Tamandua tetradactyla: one gene and its partners. The protein of the gene in region 2 binds, or shares a complex with, the protein of the main gene of each other region. Links are inferred from orthologs where the notes say so. Each region holds a gene or a part of one and is shown on either strand. Other genes may lie near its edges.

Region 1 (7,851 bases), on a different chromosome or scaffold from region 2:
AAGCGCTAGAGCCCTCACCTTTAAAAAGCAACACTCTGGAGTCAGGGAAACGTGGGATCAGATCTTGGTTCTAACATTTATATCCGTAATTCTGAACCACTTACCTCAGCTCCCTGAGACTTACATTTTTATCAGGAAAATGGTAGTACTAATACCTAGATCAAAGGATTAAATGGGATGCTATATAGCAATTTCCTAGCACACTGCCTGGCAAACAGTAATTGTTTTAAAACAGTAGCAATTATTATTACTTTTAATAATAACTCCAATGGTTATTACTTTCTTTAATCTTTTACCTGCACCCTTAACCTTTTCTCAGCCTTCTTCATCGACCTCAATAATCCTTCAGAAATTATTTATTCAACTACTCCTACTTAGGGGGGTTACACTATATTATCAGGCCATGGGAATACAAAGAGTCTACATGAGAGAGGACAGACATAACACCAATAATTATAAGTGGTACACGCAGGAAGTATGCCATGGACATATATAACAAAGAGTATTTAATTCAAGGAAGCCTGAAGAAGCGCTTTTTTAAAACAGAGACCTGAAATGCACAAAGAAATTAGCCAGGCAAAAAAAGCGTTGCAGGCAATAGAACACATTTAAAGTTCAATAAGAAAAAGAGTACAGGATGATCTCAAGGAACTGGAAGTTGTACAATATAATTGGAACAGAGAGAGTGAGACAGAAGAGGGCCAAGAATAAGCCTGGAGAGGCAGGAAGGGCCATATTCTGCAGGACCAACTAAATTAAGTTAGATTTATAAGATTTCACCTTAAGAGCAAAAGAAGCTACTGAGGGGTTTTATGGAACTCTGCATTTTAAAACAATTTCTGGGATTTGGAGAAGATAATGGAGTCGAAAGGGTTAAAAATGAATGCAGGGAGATTATTAAGAGGGTCTTGTTGAATTCTAGGTGTCAAGGGAGAAAAGCGTGTACAAAGGTAGTAATAGTGGGATTGAAGAGAAATGGAACTATTGAAAAAACAATTCATTTGGGGAGTAGAACCAATAACCTTTTCAGGAAGCTGTCCCAGACATCTCCAGTTAACCATTCTTGTCCCTTTAATTCCCCAAACCTTGAGTATTCCTCTATTTTTACTATTAACACAGTGAATTTTAATTTTGGCTTGCTTTTCTATCTTTATTAGAATGCAGACTTCTTTGGACCAAGGGCTATGTCTTTCAATTCTGCATTCTTAAATTCTGCACACTGACTCAGAAGCAAGCTGATATTCTCAAGGTTTACTGACGTGCATCCTTCCCCTTACATAAACAACTTGAAGAGGAGATGGTTTTGGATTTGAATTTTTAAATATTTTCTCTGACGTTCCTGCAAATAGCTGATATTTTCATAGCGTATCATGTAACATAGTGATTATCAAATGGGTGGAAGGGGATAGAAGTAGTTTGGAAAAGCACATATACAAATAATTATATTAATGAAAAAGAAAATAAACTTTTGTTTCTGTAAAAAAAGTTACAGGAAGTAAAGCTTGACATTAACTTAGGTGCTGGAACATGGATTTAAGCAGTTGAGAAACATTTCACAGCTGTTTTCCTACTTTCCCTCTAATTATACTATTACTAGTTCAATAGGAATGGAATAAACAAATCTGTTAGATCTGTATGCACAATTAAGAGTAAAATGGCTCAAAATAAAGGTCTGAGAAACTTTTATGTAAGTCAAGTGTTTGAGTTTCTGATGATTCTCGTATACTGGCATATTCCCTAGCCTTGGCTCAGGCAGTCCCTACAGACCTAGACCACTTCCTCTTTGTCCATTCAAATTCTATGCGGAGTTTAAGATTCAAATCCTCCAAGATCACACGCTAATCTCGTCCTTCTCTGAATTCCAAGGGCAGTTCGAAGTCTATGTCAGGAAATTTAATAAGTGACCACGTTCTGCCTAGTAATTTCTTCTCAACAAGGGCAGGGAGACGCGCTAAAAAAGTACAAGTGGTGACAGATGAATACCAACAGTGTGCTTATTATAACACTCACGTGGAAGTTAAATCAAGCCCAATCCTAGTTCACAGGTGATAAATGCGTGACAGTCAACCTTTTATCTGACCAAAGGGCCCAGTTAATGAGCGAATAAGCTCTCCAGAGAGTTCTAAAGAGAGAGAGGGGGGAGGGGAATTCAAGCTTCCTCAACAACAAAAAAGCAGCTTTCCTTAGTTCACCCCACTTTCTAGCTTCCTCAAAGCCACTCCTTCTCCCCAACTGATCTCTTCCCAAGATGGAAACGACGAAGTCCAAAAATGATATGACATCTGCTTTGCCACCTGACCTAGGAGCGGAGACTCACCAGTTTCATATCGGACTTTAGGTTGTCAGATACCCGTCACTCGACTCCTCACACCCAGAAAGCGTTTTCCGGTTCAATCCTCGACACCGAGCCGCAAAGGGGATCTCGGAACATGCAGTCTTTCTTTCTACGCTTCCCTCTCCCAGGGAGTCATGGGAACTGTAGTCTTCCCTAGATGCATCATGGGAATTGTGGTCATCTTTCCTTTTCCTCCCTTTCCTCTCTAAACTCCTCCTTCCCTTAGCTCAAATTCATCCGCGTTGCCACTTCATCTTCTCGTTCTCTCTTTCTCTTTCTACACCCCAGCATGATATCATGTCCCCCATATGGGTTTGGGGTCCATGGTATTCTGGGACGTGTAGTCTCCCTGCGACTGAGACCCCTTTTCCCTCCTCCCTGTGGGAAGGCGGATGGGCGCGCGGCTTGCTGGGAGCTGTAGTTCTCTAGGGTCTCTAGTTGACGGGTCCCGCGCTTTTGCTCAAGGGAGGCAGGAACTACAACTCCCAGGATCGCCTGGCGGCAGCAGGTGGGAGCGGGGCTGTTGATATCAATATGGCGGTTGTCAGCCAGACAAAGACAGTCAGTCTGATGTGATTGAGACAAGGGTGGTTTTCAGGGGTAGACTGGGAGATAGGGGCCTCCCCTCCCCCTTCTCCTCTTCCTGCGCTAGTCTCAACCCCTCCCCAGTCCCCTTCCAACTGGCGCCCCACGCGGAAGACACCCCTCCCCCTCCTGCTTTCCCCTCCTCCTTACCTCAGACCTTCGTACTGGGACGTTGGGGAGGGGGCTGTGCCGGGCGAAGAGAACTCAGCAAGGATTCTGAGGTGAGTCGAGAGGTTTTGAAGCCGGACTTCCTCAAGTCTTTTCCCTTACTTCTTACTCTTCACTTTTTTTTTTTAAAGGGGTTTTGGGGAGAAAGTGTGTGGGCTGGGAAGGGTCTCCTAAGCGGCCCGATTGAGAAGAGGGAAGAATCAGGGGCTTCAGAGTGTGTGACCCAGACGCAGGGTATGGGGTGGGGCACTTTGTGGGGGGCTGTAAGTGAAAGGCGTTGGCTGCTCCCCAACTCTTTCTCCTTGTTTCCTAAACTGGGCGGAAGGTTTGAATCCTGGAGGTAGGGTCTGCAGTTTGGAGTTTGGGTAACTAAGGTGATTTTGAGGTACGTTGATTTATTTGGTGTGTACATAACTGTTTTAAACTGTGTGACGTGTACTTGTATGATATGTTTGTATTGAGTAAATGTCTATAGATAAGAAGTTAAATAGCTAGAGACATAGCTTTTTCCTGGGCCTGGGCTGAGAAGCGTGCGTGAGGTCCTGATCCTGGGCGTTTGGGCTGGCGACATGGTGCGGGGTAGCAACTCGTTGTGTCCCATTACTCACTCACATTACTCCTCCCTGCCTTCATCCGCTCTTCTGGACAAATCTCCGCCCCAAACTCAGGGTAGGAGAACTGTAGAGATGATGTGGTTTGGAGATGGATTTTTGCATCCTTAAGTCGGTAGATAGGTGGCAAACCAAAAGTGTTCTTAATATTTTATTCCGGAACCGTGTTCTGGTTACACTATTGGGGCTACTTTGAAAGGAGTCCTCCACCCACCCTCACTCTGGAACATTAGGTAGAGGTATCTCACAGTCTTCTTGTTAAATAGATTAACAATTACTTAAGAATTTGGTGTGTGGGGTGGGAGTCGGAAGTGCTGAATTCTGTATGTGTTCTCATTGTCTACTAAAGACACAGGATGACTGTTGCGTATCTTGAGATAAGACGAGTTATTTTCGTGCTAGGAAAAACTGTCGGAAATTATCTGGGGGGCAGCTGAAAGGCGCTGCTTGTATTTTTCTTTTACCCCACCCTGTTCTGCCTGGCATTTGCCTGGAAGCTGGTATGGAAGAGTGAGGAAGCATTGGGTGAGTGAAGAGAAGGCAGTTGGTATTAAAGATATATACTATGTAAAGTTGGATAGTATAAAGTGGTTGCTGTCTTTATTTACTCTGAAGCTTTAAAAACCTCATGTATCATTAGATGACTAGTTCATTTCTCTGGAATCTTGCTGGTAGAGATCTTCTTTGCTTCCTTCATCCTTCCATCCTTCCATCCTTCTACCAGCCGTTTTTCTTTCCTTTTTTTCTTGGCATGGTACATCATTTTTCTTTCCGATAGACATAATGCCTACTGTGCCTTTTTATTTAGTTTGCACTAATATGGTTGTACTTTTCTGTGGGTTTATTATCATATTTATCATTAAATGAAAAGGATCTGCATTTATTTTTATTTTGCATTTATGCCACAAGTGAATATCATTTAGGATTTTAGTGCTTTGCATTAAACTTATTTTTAAATCGCACAAGTTGTCAAATCTAGTTAAATTATGAAAATTTGAATTCTAATTTTCTTCTATTTGCAATCTGAATTATAAAGGAAAGAGGATCGCAACATCACTTGTTTCTCAGTCTTTAATATTTAATAACATTATACCAGGAGAATTTAGTATAATTTGTTTTTTACTTTCTTCAATCTGAAATGTAAGTTTTTAAATAACCCTTCTTAGTGGTGTTTTTAGTGTAATGGATTTTTAAGTAACTAAAATAATTGCCATAATTTCTATTTAGACTGTTGAGAATTTAATGTATTTACCTATTTCCCCTGAAACTTATCAATTCTTGAAACCACTACCTATCAGTAAGGGACTTTAGAGTGTACAAAAACTGAAAATCACATTTAGTATGTGATTTTATGTTATATTTCATAACTTTTTATTGAAATTTCTGCTGTTGGTCATTCACATAAACTGACTGAAGTGCAAGGTAGCATGTATATTTAGACTGGCCTGAATTTAAAAAAATTGATGTTTTCTAAATCTCAAATTTAGAATGTAGAATATGTTGGTTCAAAGCCGAGTCATTAGTTTGTTATAAACTAGGATTTCCAGAATTATTTATTTTAACATTATGTCTTACATTGAAGATTGAATGTACTGAATGTACTGAAACATTACATTGCAAAAACTGGGGAAAAATCCTATGTAACTACGTAATAGTGTGGTTTTTGCTGAACGATATTATCCTAGCCATAGAGTTTTAAAATGTTTAACAGTTATTTTAAGAAACAGACCTAAAATGTTTGTTGGAGTTGGGAAATGTGTTTTCTTCTACCTGCCCTACCCTCAAAAATTTTTTTGTTGTTGTTTTGTTTTCTTCTATGGAAATTCAAAGTTATTTGCTGGGAAAAGCTTTCGTTAAACTTACTTTGATTATTAGTCTGGATGAAATCTTTGCATGTAAACCACATATATTTCGTACATTTGTTGTGGGGGAGGGGATTCTGTTGCATTTTAAGCCCAGGGCATTAAAATGATGTAAAGCCTTTACTGCAGGTTAAAGCATAAAGCATTCTCAGCATGTGAAAGTCATATGGTTTACGAAAAAAAGTGGAAAATCAGGGCATTGGTGCCTGGCCAGCTTAAAATTTCATCCTGTAACTGTGAAAGCCACATTTATTTTCATGTGATCATTTCTAAAAATGTTGTCTATATTATGGCAAGTTGAAAATCCAAACAGTTTTTAACCCAATCTGTTGCTAGTTTGTGTATTGCATGTAGTGAATGCGATTTGTGGTTACAAATATGCATCAGGCTGCCTTTGGGAGTTTATGTTCAATATCTTTGTTGAGGCTTCATTTTCATTGCTGTATGAACAAATTTCAGTCTTTTATTAGGCAAGTCCTTAGTTAAAACATCACTAATATGAACTTATTATCTCCGTATTGGTAGATCATAAGCTATATTGCTATAAATCTCTCATGGTTTCATCATAAAAAACAAGTAACCATTGTAAGGCAATTTTTATGGCAAGTATTGATTAGAATGGCATTTCTTGTTTCATTATTTGTTGAAAATTATGGGAATATTCATCCAGTATGTTGTATTCAGTCCATCCTATTTTTAATGTTTCACAGAGCTACTATGTCTCCTGTAAAATCTTTGGTTTTTCTGTTTCATTGCAGCTCTTGCTCTATTATTTTTGTATGTAGATATTTAAATTTGAATGATTTCACTTGGCAACTAGAAATTTTTCCTTTGATGACATTTGTCATAAATTCATTTGTTTTGGTGCCATTCAACTTTTTAAAATGTGGCAATTTGTAGATATGCTTGGAAGTGCTGAGTGAAAATGCATTGGTTTGTTTTGTGAATCTGTTTTTCTTAAGTTGTTTTTCACTACCAAAGTTAATTTTATAGTTCACTTTGCAATTCTAGCCATTGGTTAGATATTTCTATTAACTGTTGGCTTTTACTTCTCAAATTAGAAGAACTTTGATTTATACAAAAAAATTGTTATGAGTGAAAGCCAGCTTGTCTATAGTGTCATATATGTACTCACCATATATAAAACATTTTAATGTTTGTTTATATATGACATTGATACATATCTATCAGACATGCAGCCCATAAAAAACAGCCTGTGCCACAAATAGCAGGAGACTCTGAACAGTGACTTACTCTAGAAACTAAGAGATAACCACCTTCACGTGCTTCCACATTGTAGAAACTATGGAGATTTTCAGCGTTTTATTGCTAAGCTATTGTATTAATAGGTTCTCAAAAATGTAGTTCTCTCAAAATATGGGTCTTGAAATTTTTCTAAAAATGATATCCTTCGTAATATATGACTTAGATACTATGTGCAACTATCCGTCAGATAGTTATTATTGGATTTAGGGTGTGTCATAGGTATAAAGATTTTTCTGAGTGATTATTTGATATAAAACTATAGAGTCTATTTAAACATAATCCAGTGCCTTAGATAACTCATTTTCCTTAAATTTAGATGAAACAAGTTGGAAATTTACTATAATATTGTCTTGGATGCTTTCCAGGAGCATTTAGTTACTGGAAGGCCCTGGCTTTAGCAAAGTTTCACCTTTACAGTGATACTAAGATTGAAGTTACGGTATGTTCTTTCAATGGTTATTATAATAATCTTAATGCAGAAGTTCGCAGATTGTTGATTGAGCTTTAACTATAGGCTTTTTTTTTTTAACATTTGCAAACAAAGGAGAAAAAAGAACAGTAGTCTGGTTTTTAACTTCGAAGTGATCAGTTATTTTATTTTATTTTTTAAATTTAAAACAGATGACCTGAGATTACCCCCACCCCCCACCCTATTATAAGTGATAAAATGGTGCTAATCCATTCAAAGGTTTTTCTTAAACTGAGAGTGCTGATTTTGATAAGAGTATATATATATATATATATAGTTACATTTTTAATAGAGAAAAAATCAAATAACTGAGACTCTTGGTTTAATATTTTGATAAAGTAGTAGAATTGTTAAAATATGAAGACATTTGGTTGAACCTAGTCAGTCAAGCCTTGGAATCATTCTCACTCTTCCCATCCAATCATGAAGTCAAGTTGATTTTACATTCTTTGTATCTATTCTCTTCTTTTCATTCTGTTGCTATTCCTTTAATTCAGGCCTTCATCATTTCTGGCTTATCACATTAGTCTCTTAAACTCATCTTCCTGCTTTCAG
Region 2 (8,001 bases):
TTGTAGAACATATTGAAGAGTTTGATGTAGATTATGATTTCACAATTTCAGGATTTTATTTCTGGCTGCTCTTGGATACTGGAGACTGAAAGAGATGTCAATTCAATGACCCAGCAGTCATATCCATTTGTTAAATCCTATGTGGTAGTTAAGTTCGTGTCAACTTGGCCAGGTGATGTGTCTGGTTCTGCTGCTGTGGATTTGAATCATTGGCCTGTGAAACTCATCTATGGAGGATCCCATCTGCAGTCTCCAATGGGAGGGCTGTCCTCAGTGAGTGAGGTTCAATTTAATTCATGGGAGGCTTAAACGAGAGACTCAGCGTAGCACAGCCCAAGCAGCTCAGCACACCTCATCTCAGCACTGGCAGCTCAGCCCAGGCCTGTGGAGATGCAGAAAGGAATCACCCCGGGGAAAGTTGTTGGAACCCAGAGACCTGGAGAGAAGGCCAGCAGAGACCATCCTGTGCCTTCCCATTAAGAAAGAACCTCAAATGAAAGTTAGCGGCCTTTCCTCTGAAGAACTATACGTTCTTTACTAAATACATCCCCGTTTATTAAAAGCAAGTCCATCTCTGGTGTGCTGCTTTCTGGCAGCTTTGGCAGTTTGGAACACCCTATCTTCTCTAACTCCACCATCACCTTTGATCTTTATCCCTCTCTTTATGGGTATTTGGGCTACGGCCTTTCTAACTTTTTCACGTTGGAAGGGGCTGTCACTAATATGGGGTAGGGAGATGGAACTACCTGATGTTCTGGAGAGGCTGGGCCCTCTAGGTGTCAGGACTTATCTGGACCAGGGACCCATCTAGAGGTTGTAGGTTTCTGGAAAGTTACTCTAGTGCCTGGACCCATGTGGCATCTTATATATCGCCCTAGGTGTTCTTTAGGATTGGCAGGAATGGTCCTGGTTGGGGTTGGCAGGTTATGACAGGTAGCAAGGTCTGCCTGAAGCTTGCCTAAGAATGACCTTGAGTAGTCTCTGGACTCTGAACTCCCTCAGCCACTGATACTTCATTAAACTTCTTTCCCCCCTTTTGGTGAGGATGGAATTGTTGATCCCATAGTGCCAGGTCTGGATTCATCCCTGGGAGTCCTCTCCCACATCGCCAGGGACTTTCACCTCTGGACGTCATGTCCCACACAGGGGGAGGGCAACGCTTTCACTAGGCCCTTTTAACCCACTCCTGCGGCACAGGCCTGCTGCGGGTGGTCCCTCTGCTTAGGTGGTGTCCCTGGAGCTGGGACCCCATCCATTCAAGGTGGACCTTAGCCCTTTACTAGAGTTCTATATGAGGAAAAAAGACAGAAGAGCCCAGAGAGCCCAGAGAAAAGCCCCAAGGAGCTGAGAGGGCCTGTGGAAGCTTAGACGGAGGCCCGGGAGAGAAGGACCAACTGCTGCCCCGATGCCGGCAGCCTGCAGAGGCCAGGTATCATCCTGCTGACCCCTTGCACTGGACAATTTCACGGCCTTAGACCTGTCAATTGTAAGCTAATAAATCCCCACTGCTGAAGCTGACTGTGGCTGGCGGATGGCATCCGGAGCTTCAGCAAACAGGAGCAGGAGAGAGTGGGGTGGACTCATCATGGTCGCCTCTTCTGGCTTCCAAACCCAGCGCCCACATGCACCGAGGCCCTGGGGCGGCCAGGGCGCCCTCCTGCCCTGTCCCCAGTGCAGTGATGCCTCGGGGCACCCGGCAGTGAAGGGGACCCAGAATCCTCCTGGTCTGGGAATGGCTAGAGGCCCGAGGTGCTGGGGTCAGGGGTCACAGGGGCAAGGGGTCAGGCTGCACCCCTTCCCCACCCCTGGAGGGAGGCTGGGCTGGAACTCGTGCACCAGCAGCCAGGGCCGACTGTCCGCCTGTGATGTTGCCCGTCCAGCTGGGGAGCCCCCGTGCACCCCGGGGTCTGAGGCATCATCACAGAAGCAGCCCCCCCAGTGCCTGTCGGCTGCGGGTTTTGTGGGGGGTCTCAGGCAACCCCCATGTGGGGGGTTCAGGGCTCAGTGCAGAGGGGATGGTTCTTGTGTCCTCCTAACGCATCCCCGAGCCACCCGCCACCCCTCCCACCCGCAGGCCTGGGGGGCTCACCTGCCCTCGCCTGGGTGTCCAATCAGCAATCCCCTCTGAGCCCCCACCTTGAGCGCAGCCCTGCCTCCAGGGCGCACACCAGGAGGTAGGGGACACGGAGGGACGCCTGTGTCGGGGGCTTCGCCTGCTGGACCCTCCGACGCGATGCCAACATCTGGCAGACTGAGGAGTCACCTGTCCTCCCTCCATCGCCTTGCCCTGTCCATGTTGCCCCGGCCCCAGGAAGCCCCAGGGCGCCTGTGCCACCCCTGGAGCTGAGGCCCACGTGGCAGCCGGGCAGGGGTACAGCAGTGTCCTAGCCCCCGCACCGCCCGCAGCCCCTACCACAGTCTCCTGGCCCCAGATGTGGGGGGTGGGGCTCGGGCTGCCTGGCCTCGGCCCTGCAGCCAGGGTGGGAAGGCCTAAGCGGCCGAGCTCCAGGGGGCAGAGCCGGGGCTCTGGGGTCCGCGACCACACAGCCACTGCTGGGCTTGGCCACCAGGTGAATCCCTTCCCTGCCCCAGCCTCCGGGCAGCTGGGACAAAGGGACCCCCATAGTCTCCCAGGGGTGGGCAGGGGGTGGCCTGGAGCCCTGGGAGGGCCGGGGCAGGCGGGTGGCCGTGGGGGTTCAAGGAAGGCTCCGTGGAAGGCCTGGGGCTGGGCGTGTGGCTTCCCCGTACCGGAGGGCGCAGGGCGGTCAAGTCCGCCTCGTCCCGCCCCAGCTTCCCTCAAGAAGAGGCCACCCCCACTGCCCAGGGACCCTCTCTCGGGCTCCCACAGGCCTCTGAGCTGGGATGGGCTCCTGCTGGCTTGATCCTGGGGAGTTGGGGGGCTACAGCCAGAGGGCCCCGGACCCTGGGGGGGGGGCAGATGGGAGGGGAGGGGGCCCCTCGTGGGCACAACCCCCACCCCGGGATGGAGGTACCCTGCCTCTGTTCCTCTCTGGACGCGGGAGGGGCCTGCCACCAACACGTCTCTGCCTGCTGCCTCCCAAAAGACTCGGAGTTTCTGAGTCTTCTTCCCTCAAAGGAGCCCAGTGGCAAGACCCTCTCGAAGGCCTCATTCCCGGACCCCGTCTGCAGGTGGGTGCCTGGGGCTGAGGGTACCCCTTCCCCGCTGTCTCCGCCCCCTTCCCCGCCGTCCCCGCTGGACCCCGCGCCCCTTCCCCGCCGTCCCCACCGGACCCCGCGCCCCTTCCCCGCCGTCCCGGCCGGACCCCGCGCCCCTTCCGCTGGTCCCCGGGCCCCTTCCCCGCCGTCCCGGCCGGACCCCGCGCCCCTTCCGCTGGTCCCCGGGCCCCTTCCCTGCCGTCCCCGCCGGACCCCGCGCCCCTTCCGCTGGTCCCCGCCCCCTTCCCCGGCCTGTCCACACCGGACCCCGCGCCCCTTCCCCGCCCCCTTCCGCCGGACCCCGCGCCCCTTCCCCGCCGTCCCGGCCGGACCCCGCGCCCCTTCCCCGCCGTCCCGGCCGGACCCCGCGCCCCTTCCCCGCCCCCTTCCGCCGGACCCCGCGCCCCTTCCCCGCCGGTCCCCGGGCCCCTTCCCTGCCGTCCCCGCCGGACCCCGCGCCCCTTCCCCGCCGGTCCCCGCCCCCTTCCCCGGCCTGTCCACACCGGACCCCGCGCCCCTTCCCCGCCCCCTTCCGCCGGACCCCGCGCCCCTTCCCCGCCGGTCCCCGGGCCCCTTCCCTGCCGTCCCCGCCGGACCCCGCGCCCCTTCCCCGGCCTGTCCACACCGGACCCCGCGCCCCTTCCCCGCCCCCTTCCGCCGGACCCCGCGCCCCTTCCCCGCACCCCTTCCACCGGTCCCCGCACCCCTTCCCTGCCGTCCCCACCGGACCCCGCGCCCCTTCCCCGTCGCCCCCGCGCCCCTTCCCCGCCGGACCCCGCGCCCCTTCCCGGCCGTCCCCACCGGACCCCGCGCCCCTTCCCGGCCGTCCCCACCGGACCCCGCGCCCCTTCCCCGTCGCCCCCGCGCCCCTTCCCCGCCGGACCCCGCGCCCCTTCCCTGCCGTCCCCACCGGACCCCGCGCCCCTTCCCCGCCGTCCCGGTTTGTGGTGTTTACTAATTTCTGTGGTGCAGATATTCCTGCATTGACTGATTTCAAGCCAGCAGCATGATGTCACTGGATGCAGAGCCAGGAAATGCTGGGCTCCATCCGCTCCAACCAGCGGTTCAAGCAGGCCCCAGCTCAGGGCTGCAGGAGAGGTCCTCCCGCGCACATCGGGTAGCACTGCTCCACACTGCTCTCAAAGTGAACCTGCTGAGTTACAAGCTATGGGAACTTTCAACGTTACCAGACCCCGCGCCCCTTCCCGGCCGTCCCCGCGCCCCTTCCCCGCCGTCCCCGCGCCCCTTCCCCGCCGTCCCCGCGCCCCTTCCCGGCCGTCCCCACCGGACCCCGCGCCCCTTCCCCGTCGTCCCCGCGCCCCTTCCCCGCCGTCCCGGCCGGACCCCGCGCCCCTTCCCCGCCGGACCCCGCGCCCCTTCCCGGCGCCCCTTCTCGCCGCGGCTCCTGCAGGGCCCAGGTCTGGGGCTCGGGGGTGGTGGTCCCAGGCTGAGCCCGGGGTTCGCCGGGCTCCTGCGCTCCCTCCCCCTCGCCGCCACCGCGGGGCACTCCAGGCCCGCCGCCCGTCCCTGAGGCGTCCGAGCCCCGAGGCCCGGCGGGGCCCGTCTGTACAGCCGACCAGTCGTACTCCCCGCGGGCTGCGCGGCGGAGCGGGCACTCGGCGGAGCGGGCACCCGCAAGGGCGGGCACGCGCAAGGGCGGGCACTCGGCGGGGCGGGCACTCGCCGGCTCTGGCCGCTCGCGGAAGCTGCAGTGTCCTGAGCGGCTGCCCCGCCGCCAGAGGGCGCTGCAGGCACGGCGAGGGCGCCGCCCGCCCGCCTCTCCTCTGCCTCCCGCCGCGCTGTTTTGCTTCCCACAATTCCGGAAGTGGGAGCGCGGAGAGCGGGAGCAAGCGTTTCCGGTTCCGGGGCGGCCGGAGCGGCCGGGAAGGCGCTCGGGTGGCCTAGGCGATGGGCTGGAGGTGAGTGGGCAGGGGCCCTGGCCTCGCCCTTGCCGCCGGGCGGAGCTGGCTCTTTGCTCCTTGCCCGGCCCGTCTTCCCTTAGGCTTCGGGGCGCCTCGGCCGGCCCACGCGCCCTCGGCAGCCGCCCCGGCCCGTGCCTCGCGGCTCCCGGCGCGATCGAGCCCCCTTGCAGGCGGCGTGGGTGCCGGTGTCTCAGGCAGCCCCTTTGAGAAACGCCCCGCCGGGCAGACTTCGGGCCCCGTTCGTCCCCTAGGTCCTCAGTCCCTGCACGGCAGGGGAAGGAATGAATGAATGATGTCGCGCTGTCTTTCAGGTGACACAGCAGCAGCGAGGGGAAGGGGACAGAATGAACCGTGCCAAGCCTGCCGCCGTCCGGAGGCCCAGCGCGGCGGCCAAACCTTCAGGCGAGTGAGAGCAGCAACGGGCTCTTTGGGGACTTCTCAGCTTTGCCCTTTGGCCTAAGTTGGAGCTTATTTAGCAGTAAAGTATGTTTCTAGCAATGAGGTCTAGAAAGAAACCTCGGTCCTAAGAGCTTCTGGAGTCCTTGGTGGATTTTGGACGCTGTGGCCTCCCCTGGGAGACTGTCACCTTGTTTCAGGTGGTGCATCCAAGGCTCTAGGCAGGAATCGGAGAATAATGTAGTTGAGGGCAGCGTCAGGAAGGTGGTTAAAAACTCAGGCTCTGGAGTTGCATTCCGGTTTTGTCTTTCCACCCTCTGCACCCCTGGGCATGTTCAGCCTCTCTGGGGCTCCTTGTCCTTTACCCTGTTTGGAAACTCATAAGGATTAAATAAACTAATACTTGTAAGTGGTAAGCTTTGCATAACTGCTGGTCATCCTTGATACTACATTATACCAGTCTCAGTTTAGCTGTTGACTTGCTAAGTAGCCTCGGGCTTGTTTTGTGCCTTCTCTCATCATTGTTTAACTCTCTCTGAAATAACAGGAGATTGGATGTATTCTCTTTCCCTTCTGTGCAGGACACCCTCCTCCAGGAGATTTCATTGCTCTGGGCTCAAAGGGTCAGGCCAATGAATCGAAAACAGCATCTACCCTCCTGAAGCCAGCCCCTTCCGGCCTGCCTTCAGAGCGCAAGCGGGATGCTGCAGCTGCTTTATCGGGTTCCTCAGGCCTGACTGGCCTCACCAAACGCCCCAAACTCTCCTCCACACCACCTCTGAGTGCCCTGGGGCGCCTGGCTGAGGCTGCAGTGGCAGAAAAACGAGCTATTTCTCCTTCCATTAAAGAACCATCTGTGGTACCGATTGAAGGTAAAGTAGGCCCTGGGCTCCTCAGAGCACGTACCCTGTTCCTCGTGAGTCCAGCAGCGTTTAGTGGACACCTCCCAGGCTTAGCACCGTCAGGGTCCTGAGAGAGGACGGATGAGACTAGATGTCTTAACAGGGCAGTTTGTTCATCTGAGAATTCATTCTCCAAAGCACCTCTCGTACAGGTGCCTTTATTCCACCTTCACTTCTAAATTCCTTGACAAGAATCAGGGAAATACTAAGGTGGCCCAGGGCGAGATGGCCTAGGAGAGAGGTGGGGTGGGGGCAGCACACAGGGAGATCTAGAATGACACAGTCACATTGTAAGAGCAAGTTTCTGACATTGGACAGGTCAGTGAGCCTTGTTGGCCTTCTCTGTAAAGTTGGGGTGAAAAGTAATAGGGTTTAGGAGTTAACAAGACTGCTGTGTGCAGATGCTTCATCAGCTGTGACGTGTGGGGTGAGAGGAGGACCTCCGCCGTTGTGTTCTCCCCACCTTCAGGGAAGGGGTACAGAAGAAGCTGCTGCATGAGGGTCAGTGCACCCCTAGCCTGCTGCCAGCTGCTCTCCTGTGGGAGCTTTAGTTAACCTGGTAGTCGTTTGGTGAGCATCTGCTCTGCAGGAGCTACCCTGAGCACAGGGACCAGTGGCAAGTGTGGCAGGTGAGGCTCTTCTCTCGTGGCTGGGATACCTCGTGTGTCCCCTCACCTGGAGAGGCTGGGTCTGCATTCGCGTGTATCTCCCCACCCAGGTGCAAACAGTAAAGCGTTTTACCCCCGCCTTTTCCAGTTGAAAACGCATTACAACATTAAAGACCTAAAAGAAGAATAGAAGCTCGATCATGATTTCACTACGCACACAGGTGTTTTTACCGTGGTGCGAATCTCTTGTTTTCCCTACGCTTCTGTGTGAGCTTCCCAGGGGTTGTCTTTAATGGCCCCACAGCATCCTGTGGGGTAGATCTATTAGAGAGATTGAGGCCCAGACACTGAGCCCGTGGGTCCTCGTAGGTTTGAGAGCAGACCTTGTCTGTGTATTTTTGATTGTGTGGGAGCATTTCTTTAGGTTAAATTCTTTGTAGGAGTTACGAGACAGAACGTCTTGACAGCTTTGGTAATGGTCTATCAGTTTAACTGAACCCACCACATGTTATTGAGACCATGAATGTGGAGTCACAGGGGTGTGAGGATAAATAGCCTGTGGCTCCTGCCCCCAGAGTGCAGACCCTCAGAGGCGCCAGGTGACTGTAACTCAAAGCTCCGCGGAGTAAGTCCCACTAAGGGGCTGAGCAGTCAGGTGTCCTGACTGCTCAGGTAGGGAGAAGGCACGTCAGAATTGCAGCGTGAGATCAGGTCTGCAGGATGGATGATATTGTTACAGGCGGTAAAGAATGCTGGCAGGAAGACAGGCGAAGCAGAGCCGTCTTCCTGGGGAATGAAGCTGTGCCAGGGCTCGGTCTGGGTGTGGCCTGGCTGGCACATGGTGGCGAGCAGTGTGGCCCAGAGGTGTGGACAGTGTCTGCATCTGGGTCACTTGGAGTTCAGAGGCAGTGGGGAGCAGAACTGACTGAGCAAGAGCCAAGCTGGCAAAGGCTGGGACTCCTCTGTGCTGAGGGCCTGACCTGCCCTGTCTTCTCA
Region 3 (6,842 bases), on a different chromosome or scaffold from region 2:
CAGATTTTTGCTTTCTACTGATATCTCCTCAGTGACATTTATATTGAAGACTCTTCCATCCTGTCTTCTCCTTTGTATAGCAAAACTTTCTCAAAAAGTCACCTATATTTCGTATTCTTTTTACTTCAGTCCTTCTACTTCTGCTGCAATTCATGCAATTTAACCTTTGTCACACTTTTCCATGAAAATGTTCTCACCAACGTCATTTACAGCCCTACTTACGGAAATTGAATACTTTTTAAATCCTCATCTAGATTTCTCAGTGGCATTCTATACTCTTGACCATTCCCAACTTCTTAGAAATACTTTACACCGTATTCTACTGGATTTCCTCCTACTTCTTTCTCATTCACCTTCGTAGATACTTTCAGTTCCACTTAAACACAAAATAAGTTCCTCAAGGTTTGGTTCTGGGTCTCCTGTCTCATCTACACCTTCTTCCCAAAGTGTGGTGTCTGGATCAGTAGCAATGGCATCATCTGGGAACTCTGTTAGAAATAACTCTCCAATAGTCCAGTACAAAAACAGTTGGGAGTAGGGCCCCTCAAATGTGTTAAGTTCTCCAGGTGATTTCCCTAGACAATTTGATCTACAGCCTTTTGCCAGTGATTATAAATTTATCTCTCCAGCCCATACCTCTCTTTCAAACTCCACTTCTGGGGCCTGACTTGGATATCTTAGCAGTGCCTTCTATTCAACGTGTTCTTAACAGAACCACCCATAACCTCTTTATCTCCCAAGCAGTTCTTCATCTTCATCATAAATGACAGTCACCTACTTACTCCAGATAGAACCTGAGAATCAGCTTTAACTCCTCCCTCTTCCATACAATCCTACATTCAATCACCAAACCTCTTAAATATATCTTCCATTCTTAATCCTTACCACTACCATCCCAAATCAAATTCTTACCTATTATTTGGCCCTCTGCAACAGCCTTATCAGTCTTTCCATGACCACTTCTGCCTCCCTCCAAATGTTTTCATATCACTCCCTTGCTTAAAATATTTTTGTTACTTCTCACTGTCCAAACATTAAAGAATGAGATTCTTAACAAGGTCCCTAATGTCCTACCATTTTATATGTATAAAAAAGTTACAACTTAACTAACAGAGTACATGTTCATTAAATGTTAGCTACAGTCATCCTCTGTGATAACCACATATGACTTATTTTAATTCCTCCAACATATCATACTCTTTCTCATCTCAGCACCTTAATAGAAAATGCTTTTCCTCCCTTCATCTTACACACCCTTTAAATCTCAGATTTTTCCTGCACATCTCCCCAACAAAATTAGAAGTCTTATTGTTTATTGTGTGGTCCCAAAATATTGTGTACTTCATAATAAACACCATACTGTTAATTATGCAAATAGTATCTATTTCTCATTAGAATGTATGTTCTATGAGGGCAGGGAGTGGACTGGTCTTATTGCTGTAACCCTGTATCTAGCAGACTGCCTGTTGCAGTACTTAGCAAATGCTGGCCCATGAACACATTATCCACTTCCTCTTTCATAAAAATTTTCAGCCCTGAGTTCTGTCATACTCACCTTTTCTGGTTTTTCCTCTCCTATCTTTGACTCCTCTTTCTCTGGCTCATCTTCTCATCCCTGCTTCTCTTCGTATTGATCAAGTATCTGTCCTTGGCTATTTTCTTTAGCTTTGCTATCAACTGCTCCCTTGGCAATCTTATACATATCATATTTTCAACTGTCATCTCTAGGCATATGATTTCTTTCATTTATTTTCACCTTAATCTCTCTTAAGCTTAAATCCTACACTTTAAAATGCTTAGTAGATATCTTTACCTGATTGTTCTAATGGCATCTCGAATTCAGTTATGACTACAGCTGAGATTATGAATTCTCTCCCCCTCAAGTTTCTTGTCCTGCACTGTTTATCAGTAAATGACACAACTTCCAGTTAATCAAGTCTGAGGCCTAAATATTTCCCTCACTGAACCCTCCCTGACTCTTTTTACCCAAATAATCAGCAGGTCCTTATTGTGGATTCTGACATTTCTCACATTTGTCCCATTTTCTATTTTCATTAGTACTACTCAAATTCAGGTTTTTATTTGCACACTTGAACTAAAACAATAATTTTCTATTTTTCCTCCTGATTTCATTAACTGTGGCCATATCAATGTAGCTGAAGAATACTTTTCTTCCTTCTTTATTAAAAAAACCATTTTCTTGCTACAAAATCAAGGCTTTGTATACCTTCAAAATACTTGGCCTTGTATTTAAAAAGATTCATTAATAAACCTAAACTCTATCATTTCTTGCCTCTAAAAATTCTTTACAGCAGAGCCATTAGTTGGTCTTTTCATTTTTACTCATACTTTTTTTGGCTTGGGAAGATTTTCTTGCATTTTTATATTTTCCAACTTTCAAGACTCAGTTCAAATATTTCTTCAAGGACTCCACTGAAAGCTGCTGTGCCTTTCCCCACCCCAAATACTACTAATTGCCTCTTTCTCCTACGAGATCTCATAGTACTTTCTCATGGCACTGGCACTGACTACTTTAAACCATATCTGTTTGTAGTGTTATGTTCCCTACAAAATTCTTGAATACTTGAAGGGAAAAGGCTATATTTATCTTTTTGCCTATCTTTTTTTCTGCTTTACAAAGTACACAACATAATAGGTATCATTACTGAATGAAGGGATCAGAGCGAAGTGTAATGGTCTCATCTCTCCTCTAAAACAAATCTAACCATTTTTAATGCGCCAGCAAAAACCAACAAAAAGGAAACCCAGCACAACTCCCTTTCCCCACAACCAATCACACATCCAAAATAAAAACCCATAGCTCAAATCAAAACAAAACAAAACAACCCCTACTTCTTTCATGACTGAGTACCTGTATGTTCTCGTCTGGAATGCTCTCTTTCCCATTCTTCACTTTGTTTAAATTGATTATGCCCACCAGATTGCAAACTCCACGAGGGCCAGGGACTTGTTTTTCCACTGTTATATTCCTGGAGTGGGAAGCTAACATGTGCTCAAAAATATTCATTAATGAATGAAAGAGATTTTTGTTTAAATGTCACTTCCTAGGGCTTCTGGATCCCTCCAATCTAAACAGGTACTATATATAAATACAAAATATGTATATATGCCTTTTCCCTAGGTCCCATTTCCTAGTTGTACTGGTTTGAAACTATTATCTAACCCAGAGAAACAATGTTCTTTTTTTTGGACTAGGTCTCCCTGACTTTTTTTTTCCTTGGTTCTTTATTTAATCAAGGTGACATTAAAGTTTGAAAGTAAATAGAGGAGTTACATGATTTTTAAAAGACAAAATATATTTTTTAAAGCAAGGAAGCACTGTTTAAAACAATAAGGAAGAAGATAGTCTACATACATATCAATAACTATATTGGCCTGATAAGACATAAAATCTTTGTCATCTAGGTAGATTACTCAGATGGTTAAGAACCTTTTATAGCTTCTCACTAAGAACAAATAAATAATCCAAGAAAAGATTATCATTTAACGGAGTGAAAAACAAATTCTTGTTTTGCATGAAGATACATCTGAAGAGAACTCTATTAAAAATCTTACAAAACTATAAAATCGTATTCAACCTTAACCACAACCAATAAAGTTCACTTCCAACAAGACCTCTACAATTTTCTATATCCATTCATTTTGTCCAACACATTCCTGTTTCTCATTCTGCAACAATCAGTTATTTTACTTAAGGGGAAAAAGTACTCTCTTTTTCCTTCACAAAAACATTTTCTGCATACTTTACGTATTTAAATTACCAAAAAAGATCTTGAAATCAATCTTCAAGCCAACATTCTACAAAATACAATTCTTTTTTGCTTATTTTTTATTTTTTTGTAAAAAAACATATATACAGAAAAAGAACCCCAATAAATTTCAAAGCACATCACAGCAATTAGTTGTAGAACTAATCTGTAGAGCAGATTTCAGAGTTTAGTATGGATTACAGTTCCACAATTTTATGTTTTAACTTCTAGCTGCTCTAAGATAAAGAAGACTAAAAGAAATATAATATGAATATAATGATTCAGCAATTCTACTCATTGTTAAACCCTATCTTCTCTGTATACTCCACCATTACCTTTGATCTTTCACCTACTCGTTAGGGGTGTTTGGGTTATGCCCATTCCAACTTTTCCATTTGAAAGGGATTATAGATAATATGGGCTAGGGAGATGGAACTAGTTGATGCTCTGAAGAGGCTGTCCCCTTTGCATTTCAGGACTTATCTGGTCCAGGGACCATCTGGAGGTTGTAGGTTTCTGGAAAGTTACCCTAGTGCATGGAACCTTTGTAGAATACTATATAATGCCCTAGGTGTTCTTTAGGTTTGGCAGGAGTGGTTTTGGTTGGGGTTTGGCAAGTTATGATAGGCAGCAATGCCTAACCAAAGCATGCTTAAGAGTGAATTCCAGAGTAGCCTCTCTACTCTATTTGAACTTTCTCAGCCACTGATATTTCATTAGTTACACTTCTTTTCCCACTTTTGGTCAGGATAACCCTGATGATACCACAGTCCCAGGGCCAGAATCATCCCTGGGAGTCATCTCCCATGCTGCCAGAGAGACATTCACCCCTGGATGTCATGTTCAATGTGGGGTGGGGGGAGGCAATGATTTCACTTGCAGAGTTGGGCTTATAGAGAATGAGGTCACATCTGAGCAACAAAAGAGGTTCTGCAGAAGTAACTCTTAGACATACCTATAGGTAGGTTAAGCTTTTCTGCTACACAGATAAGCTTCACAAGAGCAAACCTCAAGATCAAGGGCCTGGCCGATTGATTTGTGTTTCTAATGTCTGACACAGTATCTAGGGTTTCCCTGATAGTAAAGTTTAATACTTCCAATTTTTTTCTGTCATCCCTCAAGGGACTTTGCCAATACTTTTTGATCATGTGCTTAATATATTTTAGGCTATGTCCAGGCATTATATTAAATATACAAGTTTAAAGGCCCTCATTCTTATTCTGGGCTCCTTGTGCTTCCATTCTTTAAATGAGCTGTCCAGACAGGTTGAGTTAGATTAAGTGCTACAAAAAATTTAGGTTCTGGACAAAATAAACCTTTCTTCTTTTGGTCTTAAAGAGTAGATGAGGTGCTAAAATATAAACAATGTCTTCCTTGCCCCTGTATTCTGAAATACCTTAAGTCCAACTTGATCCTTGATCGGTTTCATTCTTACCTCTAAATACCAGGTTATACATATATAAAACAGTCTCTCAAAATCCAGAAATAACAATCACCACTCCAGACTAAATGTGACTGCTATAAAAGCTTACAATCTAGGCCCCTCTTATAAGTATTTTCCAAATGAGACCATACAATAATTGCTCTTTTGTTTCTGGCTGATTTTGCCTGACCAAATGTTGTACAAGTTCATTCAATGTTGCATGCCTCACAAATTTGTTTCTTTTTTGTAGCAGCACAATATTTTAACACATGTATACACCATCATTAGCTAATCTACTTCTCTATCAGTTCATCCTTCATCCACCTCCATCCATTGGGCATCATTTATAATATCCAAAGTCAACAGTCCACCAACACTCAATTTTAGACAATTTCACAAGCAAATCAATAAACACACTCACCAAACAGAAAACCTAAGCCTCCCCTTAACTCTTGTCATTTGCCCCATTATTTACCTCTGGTGTAATAATGGTGTTGCTGTGGTATTGTTGATATTTTCCTGTTAAACATAGCCCATAGAATGCACTAGCAGTTTTCCCTCTATACCCCAACTTATATACTCTTTGTACAAAATTCATATCTTTGCGGTAGTTCATGTAAGAATTTATTTATATTTGTAGTGTTAATCCATAATACACATAGGTCCATACAATGCCTTTCAATCATGTTTACCTTCAATATGGTAATATTACTTATAGACCCACTAGAGAACCACCTTCACTTCTATTCCCCTACATTTGAGTTCAACCTCATTAGCTAACCATTCACCCATCTCTAGCTTCTGTGTATCTCTAAATCCCCTATATTCTTATTATAAGCATCTGATTCTACCTTAACCATGGTCATAAAAGTGGTATTTTCAGTATCTATCCTTTTGTGTCCGGCTTATGTCCTCAAGGCTCATCCATCTTGTCATGTGCTTCAGGATGTTATTTCATCTTACTGCTGCATAATATTCCATCATATGAATATACCACATTTTGTTATTCCACTCATCTGTTGATGGGCACTTGGATAGCTTCCATCTTTTGGCTATAGTGAACAATGGTGCTATGAACATTGCTGTGCAAATGTCTCTTTGGTCATTGCTTTCTACTCTTCTGGGTATATACCAAGGGTTGGTATTGCCGGGTCATAGGGCCACTCGATATTTAGTTTCCTAAGGAACTGCAGTATATCTTTCCTAGTGCTGTACCATTATACATTCCCACCAGCAGGGCATAAGTGCCCCAATTTCTCCACATTCTCTCCAACATTTGTGGTTGCCTCCTTGTTTAGTAGCAACCGTTCTTATAGGTGTGAGGTGGTATCTCATTGTAGTCTTGATCTGCATTTCCCTTATGGCTAATGAACATAAGCATCTCTTCATGTACTTTTTAGCCATCTGTTTTTGCTCTTCTGAAAAATACCTATTCATACCTTTAGGGTATTTTATAATTGGGTTGTTTGCTCTTTTGCTGTTGAGTTGTATGACTTCTTTACGCATATAGAATATCAAATCTTTATCAGAAGTGTGATTTCCAAATATTTTCTCCCATTTAGTTGGATGCCTTTTCACATTTTTGACAAAGTCTTTTGAGGCACAAAAACATTTGACTTTGAGGCATTTCCATTTATCTTTTTTCTTTT
Region 4 (7,138 bases), on a different chromosome or scaffold from region 2:
CTCTGTTAATGGCCCCAAAATAGTGGTGATAGTGTATTAGAATTGATGAAATATGGATGTTACCTTGAATTTTCAAAACAACCCTGTATGGCAGGCATTATTATATCATGCCTGGAGTCTGCTGAATCCCATACTATTTATTCTCATTTCTTGTTTATTGGTCTTTGTTCTTTCCCTTTAGGTCATAAGTTCTCTGCGGGTCTAGCACAGTGCCCGTCACATATCAGGTATGCAATTAACAATAGCTGAAAGACTGACTGCAATTTCCTGTTCTTTTGCTAGAAAAACAGTTCCCCTGTGACTCCCTTCTCAATCTGAGTATGTTTATTTACAGGGCTGATTTTGAATGATCTGAGACTTCAACTCTTACTGTGAAACACTGCTCCTTGGAATTTCTTTTTAATAGTAGTCCTTAGCAGCATTTTTCTGAGGACTGATAGTATGTAATATTGGGATTACCAAAATAAAATTTCCTTATGTATGTATTACCTGACTACACTGGATGTAGTTTCACATCTAATTGTTTATGCTTATCACTTCTATATGTTTCTTTGATGTTCTCAATCTTTAAACATCATTGACTAAGGTCATCTCACACAGGTTAGAAGACAGAAGCCACAGCATTGGTGTGCTAGCCAGAAGAGACTTGGTTAGGTTACATATTGAGGAACACTAGGTTCATCTGATTATTATGTTCAGATGTCATGCCCAGATACCAGAAACCGAGTCATTGGCACATAATTATTTTTAAACCGTGTTACCCTGCTTAATTGGTTTAAAATAATTTAAAAGAGCTCTGGTTGGCTCCTACAAATGTATCTAATTCATCAGTTCTTAATTCTGTTAGAATAGCTCCATTTCAACCATTTAAGCCGTTGTCTGGCCCAGAGTCACCATTATTTCAGCAGTTCCTGTACAATTTATTCGCTCCCTTTTAAACTGGGGCCAGAGCATTTGAACAACACTCCTTTAAAAACAGTAGCAGAGAGCACTTTTTCTCCACCATATCTCTTCTGACCAGTGCTTTCTCAGGAACATTTTCCTTGATCTTCTAACCACAACAGGAAACAGGACTGGGCACAGAGACTCCTAACTGGTTCTTCCTCTAGCACTAAAATGCTGGTTCTTCAGTTGAATCTCAGGTGAAATAATTGGCTTGAATTCAGGGGCCACATTTTAGAAAAACAATCTTGCATTATCTTTCTATAACCACATGTTAGAATCACAGGTAGCCTCATGGCTCCCATCTCATGCTCACTCCAGGACCTATGCTCACTGAAGGAGACAGTGGGGATCTCTGGCACGGCTTAAATGACTTTTCTCTTTATTTTTTGCCAAAATATATATAGTTGAATTAAAAAAAAATTAAATAAGCCTCTGCCAAAAATATATTAAATATATTGTGTTAAATATATTGGTGACCACATTCATAGTCTTCCCTTTAGCTGGCAGGGTTGTTTATTTTAGGAGTCCTTGCAAAAATGCAATAAATCTAAGGGTGTTTGAATGTTTTAGTTATTTGTACCTACTAGATGTCAGACACATACTTTTTATACTTTAAGCATGCAGTTCTCAATCACTATTATTTATAAGATTCACATGAAGAGTTTTTCAAAATGTGGACGACCAGGGCCCATTCCAGTTCTACTCTATCAATCACTTTCCTCTGGGGATGGCAAGCTGGTATATTTATTGTCATTACTTTAAGCTCTATATGTGAGGCTGATGTGCATTTCCTGGCTAAGAATCATTGCTTTAAACCATTGTCAACCTGTGCTTTAACTGTCAACCAAATGAGTCACTAAGAATAAACTTGACCTATTTCATAATTTTGTCTAGGGTCTGCCAGTCAATGCTTCCTGGCTTCTGATTGCCTCTTGATTTGCTACCTATGCTTGTTCGGATTTCTTCCTTTTTCTCCCGCCCCCCCCCCCCCCCCCCCCCCACCCCGACCTTTCTGGACATTGCTTCTGGACCAAACACTGGCCTTTGGTTTCAGGCTCCATTTCTGGCATAGGTTCTGGTTACCTGTTTTGGGTTTGGCTGATTGCACTTAGCTTTCCTGCGATTTGCAGAGCTGTTTATACCACACTTATCATTTGGGTTTAGTAATAGTTTTTAATGTGTATGTCATATTTTCCTAGAAAACCTTAAACTCTGAAGGGAGGGCCCCCGTGCTTCATTCCTCTTTTTTTCACTCTCCATCATACCTAGCTCACAGTAGGTCTTCAGCAAAGTGGCTGAACAAACTGCTTAAAGACCTGTATTCCATACCCTTTCTACTTCATAGTCCAAATTCCTTACAAATATCACACTTCTATGGGAGGTACTCACAAAACACCCTATCTACTGAAATAGTCCTACTACAAATTAGCACAAAGTTTCAGAGCATATCTTAAATACTAGGAAAATTCCAAGTTGTGAAACTCACAGATTTTTAAAATGTGACACAAAGTATCTCTTCTCTGCTGACATTAATTGGGACAATTTCTCTAAATGACCGATAGGCAAATATCAAGAATCTCAGAATATTAAAAAAAAAATCACATTTAACATGAGTAGGAAAGTTTCTATAAATAACGACAAAGGCTTATAAGAGCCCTGTGCTCCTAATTCTACCTGTATCTAAGGCAATGTGGCCAGTTCTTCCACTGCAGTAAATTGAGGACACATTACTCCAGGTGAAACGACAGGGGCTTGTTTTAATAGTCTGAAAGGTAGCACGTAGTGGGAGGAAAGAGCTGGGGAAGGGTGATCAGGATCCACTCGGTGCATTCTCGGCTGCCTGGGCAAGGTGAAGTCAGTTTTCCACTTGGAAAGGAAAGGTAATGGGTCATGGCCACCGAGGGCCCTTTCAGCTCTCAAGGCTGGATATCCTAAGGCCCCTTGTAAACTCGACGTGAGAAAGGCATTTCTTCCGCTAGGCCCAGTCAATCTTGCCCCCAGAGTAAAAAGGCAGCAAGCGGCTGACGGATATTTTTATCTTCCCCCATGCCCTTCGGTGGTCTTTTCCTTCTGGCCCCCCGCGGAGGGCACCCGGCCTGCCCCGGCCCCAGCCTCGGCGGCTCCCCTGCAGGCCTGGCCCTGGGTCCGCACTCCCTAGCGAGGTGGCTAGTCCCTGGTCATAAACAACCCCTCCTCCCCCTCCCGGACCCGCCCGCGCCGGGGCCGCCCCCCACGCCCCGCGCCCAGTGCACCGCCTCTCGCTGCACAGTGACCCGCGTGCACTTTGCTCGTCCCTTCAGCACTCGCCCACCGGGTAGGGGTGCGCCACAGAGACCTCCAGAAGAGGCCGAGGCCAGGCTCCCTCCCCCTCCCCCCGACCCCGATCACCTCCACCAGCCCAGAAGAGGCCGGAGGCCCTGACGCGCAGGCGCAAAGCGCGCCCGCCCCTCCCCCACGCCGCGGCCCTTCCGCGGCCCGGCCCCGCCCCTTCCCGGAGCCCGCCTCCGCGCCGGCAGGCCCGCCCGCCCGCCCCTCGCGCTCGCGCTCGCGCGCCCCCGACGCCCCGCCTCCGCGCGTGCTCAGTAACCGTCCCCAAAGCTGGCCTCCAAGCTTCCCCCGCCCCTGAGCTGTTTGAATATGCTAATGAGAGTCTAGGGGCTAGCCAATACGAGGGCGGGGCGGCGCGTCACGTGGCCAGGGGACGTGTCCGGGGGGCGGAGCCTCTGCAGCCCCTGCCCGAGTTAAAACCGGAGTGTGCGAGAGAAAAGCGCTTCAGTAGCGAGAGGGGCTGAGAAAGTGGTGATACCGCTGGGGTGCGGAGGGAGTCCCTGAAACTTCTCCCAACAGCCCCAGGGCCAATCTCCCCTCAGCCCACTCCCCTCTCCGCCAGCTCCCAGGTCCCCACTCCCTGCAACCGGGGGTGGGGTGGGGAGTCGGGCCCGTCTCCCGCTGGGACACACACAGGGGCCGGGAGCGGGGACGGGACCCCCAAGGCGGGGGGGTACGGACCGACAGACAGACGGCCGGGCGCCCGGCCCAGCGGGCAGGCAGGCAGGCGGGCGGAGGCGGAGGCGGGGGTGGACGGGGACGATTGGGTCTGGGGAGTTTCCTCTCAACTATCGGGGGAGAAACTCCCCGCAGCCGGAGGGAAGACCCAGACGGTGTTTTCCTCCCGGGGGCCGCGCGCCGCCGCCGCCCCCGGCGCCTCCGCCGCTGCCATCTCTGCCTCGGCCGGCCGCGGTGTCCCCGGCCAGCACTATGCCCATCTTACTGTTCCTGATAGACACGTCTGCCTCTATGAACCAGCGCAGCCATCTGGGCACCACCTACCTGGACACGGCCAAAGGCGCGGTAGAGACCTTCATGAAGGTACCGACGGAGCGAGCCCGGGCGGCGATCCCGGCCCGGCGGCCCGCGGGGGGCAGGGCGGTGGGGGCGGTGGGGGCGACGGGCCGCGGGGCCGGGGACCCGGCTGCGGGAGCCGCGGGGCCCCTCCCCCACCGCGCGGGCGGGCGGGCGGCGGGCGCTGCGAGCGGGGCTCGGCCGCGGGCGGGGTGCGGGGCCCTTGGGGTGTGGGGGCGGCGTGGGGGGGTGCTGCGTGTGCGGTACTGGGGAGGTGGTGGGGGGATGCGGCGCGGGGACCCTGGCCTGCGTGCTTCCCTCCCGCTCTCCCGCAGCTCCGCGCCCGGGACCCCGCCAGCCGCGGAGACAGGTACATGCTGGTCACTTTCGAAGAGCCGCCCTATGCCATCAAGGTAACAGCCCTCGGCCTCCCCCCCCTCTTGGTGTCGGCTCCGCGCCCTCCCCGCTCCCCCCTCGCTGTCCTCGCGCCCCTCCCCCACCCGCGGGTCTCCGGGCGACTCCCCCGCGGGCCCCCTCCCCCGCCTCGGGTCGCGCGGCGCGGCGCCGAGCCGCCCGCCACCGCCGCCCCCTCCCCGGCGCGGCCCGCGGCGCTGCGCTCAACATGGCCGACATTTCCCCTCCGCGGCGCGGCGGCAGCAATGAACTGTGGGGGATATTCTTCCCAGCGGCCCGGGTGACAGCGGCCCGCCGCGCCCCGCTGGCCCCGGCCGGGAGCCCAGGCGTCCAGGCGGCGGTCGGCACGGGTCAGGCTCCAGCCGGGGGCGCCTGCGGGACGGGGGGCTGCAGAGCCGCCCCCGGAGGGCCCTAGCCTGGCCCGGGCCGCCGGGCAGCTCGAGGTCAGCCGGCGAGGGTCCTCTTCCCTCCAGAACCTTCGCACCCCGCGCCTTGGGGTGTTAGATCAGGTAGTCTACTTCCCAGCCAAGTGACAGAGTGCGGAGGCAGCTGGCCACCCCACCCCGGGAGCAAGCGGCTCCTGTTCTTGGCCACCTTTGGAGGAGAGTTTCCCCAGTTGGGATACAGTATATAAAACAAGTTAACCAGACCATACTGTCAAGAAAAAGAGGCCACTTGGTGAACATCAGATTATAATGGCTGTCCCCAAGACGAAAAAATATTCTTAAATTTTTCTTTTCAGGCTGGATGGAAAGAGAACCATGCAACGTTTATGAATGAACTGAAAAACCTTCAGGCTGAAGGACTTACGACTCTTGGCCAGTCCCTAAGAACAGCTTTTGATTTGTTAAATTTAAATAGATTAGTAACTGGCATAGACAACTATGGGCAGGTAGGTTGAATATTAAGGTGGAAAAATAGTTGATTTTTTCATGCTGTGGGAAAACACATTCCACTCCAAAATCCATATGACCTGAAATAGAAGTATGAAACATTTTAGGTGAAAACTTAAGCTGAAGTAAGTTTAAAACATATAGTAACACGTACTACAAAGGTGAAACTCTCACCTTACTGTTCACGGTTTTGTAGCCCTCTTTTTTTTTGTTCTAACAGTGCATTTGTATTCAGAATTAGAATCTGATTTTTTCTGTAAGTTACGTGTTATGAATTTGGTCTTAATCCCTTGAAGTTCATAAAAGAAGAAACCTGTCTGGTCTTACCCCGTTGCATTGATACCCTACCACAGGCAGATGGGCAACCCTTAGTGGTTGTGGAGTAGTGCTATTTATTTCTATATTAGTAAAAATGTTAGAGGAAATGCAAAAGGGTTTAATTTAATCCTCTGACATAGCAATTCTGAAAGGGTTCTCATTGAGGTACAATGACTGGTTTGGCACATTAAGATTTCTCAGCTTTTGAAGGATACACCATTAGTGACTATTGCAGGGGGATTCTGAATTAAATGGCAGGTCTAGAGGTGTTTTTCTTTGGGGGTGGTGGTGTTTTTTTTTTCAAAACTCCAAACCCTTGGAAAAGAGGCTGTCTGAAAAAATATGAAAGGAACCCTATCTTAACCCCCCCCACAAGTCCGTCTGTTGTACCTGCATTTCTTCATTTGAGGATGACATAAGGTTTCCCACAGAGCCTTAAATCATTTGATGATTCACTATGAAATAATCTAGGTGGTCCTTTATAACTCTTATATGAGATTGCTGGCCTGGAAAATAAAAGATACTGAAGAATGTGTGATGTTGCACATAAGAAAGGAATATTAAACCCAAGGACTTATGATGTAGTGTAAAGCACTATTACCACAATGATACATTTAGTTATACATTACATCTGATCTTTTCCCACGTTCCATGAGCCACAGATTTCATAAGTATCACAGGGAAATTCTTTCTGTGACTGCAACTTTGAACTGTTCCTTTCTTTTAGAAATGTTTGTTTTACTTAATACTGATAACTTGAGTGTTTAAGGACCTTTGCAAATGGCTGATTTTAGTTCAGTGACCTTTAAAGTGTGCATTGCAATGCAGTCACTTCTGCTTTTACCAAATTGCAGGTCATTTAAGTATATGTGTATTTTCTTACCACATTATAGTTTTATTCCACCCCCCTTCATTTCACACCTTTCAGTAATTTAGGCAGATTTGCCATGCCATGAACTTTTTAGTTTGTTTCTATAAAATAATGGGTTTCTTTCCTTTGCTATTTGTAAAGGTGAGGTATCTTATGCTTACATTATAGTTGAAACTTTATTTTTGAAATCAAAGAAAAATGTGAAACTTTCCATTGTTTGGTTATCCTTATTTTTTGGTTAGTATGTAGCAGAACTATTAATTTCCTGTTTTCCACCATCACAATCCTTAAGTGGAAAAGTTCACCAATACTAGCTATTAAGAATATTGTTTAGTTGCTTTCTTAGGAATCCTGA

The links.
Region 1: INTS1 (region 2) and INTS9 share a complex: the UniProt entries of both Homo sapiens proteins name them as parts of the integrator complex. The link is inferred for Tamandua tetradactyla from reciprocal best matches to the Homo sapiens genes INTS1 and INTS9.
Region 3: INTS1 (region 2) and INTS12 share a complex: the UniProt entries of both Homo sapiens proteins name them as parts of the integrator complex. The link is inferred for Tamandua tetradactyla from reciprocal best matches to the Homo sapiens genes INTS1 and INTS12.
Region 4: INTS1 (region 2) and INTS6 share a complex: the UniProt entries of both Homo sapiens proteins name them as parts of the integrator complex. The link is inferred for Tamandua tetradactyla from reciprocal best matches to the Homo sapiens genes INTS1 and INTS6.

What each region holds. Positions count from the first base shown.
Region 1 is NC_135329.1:30,332,489-30,340,339, forward strand, and holds the start of INTS9 (integrator complex subunit 9), read right to left. Parts: upstream 3,015-7,851; 5' UTR 2,327-3,014; coding exon 2,318-2,326; intron 1-2,317. UniProt on the Homo sapiens protein: Component of the integrator complex, a multiprotein complex that terminates RNA polymerase II (Pol II) transcription in the promoter-proximal region of genes.
Region 2 is NC_135349.1:1,062,558-1,070,558, reverse strand, and holds the start of INTS1 (integrator complex subunit 1), read left to right. Parts: upstream 1-4,982; 5' UTR 4,983-5,096; intron 5,097-5,410; 5' UTR 5,411-5,443; coding exon 5,444-5,501; intron 5,502-6,076; coding exon 6,077-6,367; intron 6,368-8,001. Other genes in the region: uncharacterized protein LOC143667835, read right to left, coding at 353-382, 2,090-3,085, 3,175-3,792, 4,177-4,185. UniProt on the Homo sapiens protein: Component of the integrator complex, a multiprotein complex that terminates RNA polymerase II (Pol II) transcription in the promoter-proximal region of genes.
Region 3 is NC_135350.1:17,869,680-17,876,521, reverse strand, and holds the start of INTS12 (integrator complex subunit 12), read right to left. Parts: upstream 3,012-6,842; 5' UTR 3,011-3,011; coding exon 2,873-3,010; intron 1-2,872. UniProt on the Homo sapiens protein: Component of the integrator complex, a multiprotein complex that terminates RNA polymerase II (Pol II) transcription in the promoter-proximal region of genes.
Region 4 is NC_135330.1:104,750,283-104,757,420, reverse strand, and holds the start of INTS6 (integrator complex subunit 6), read left to right. Parts: upstream 1-4,128; 5' UTR 4,129-4,203; coding exon 4,204-4,314; exon of another isoform or gene 4,315-4,386; intron 4,387-4,622; coding exon 4,623-4,700; intron 4,701-5,443; coding exon 5,444-5,593; intron 5,594-7,138. UniProt on the Homo sapiens protein: Component of the integrator complex, a multiprotein complex that terminates RNA polymerase II (Pol II) transcription in the promoter-proximal region of genes.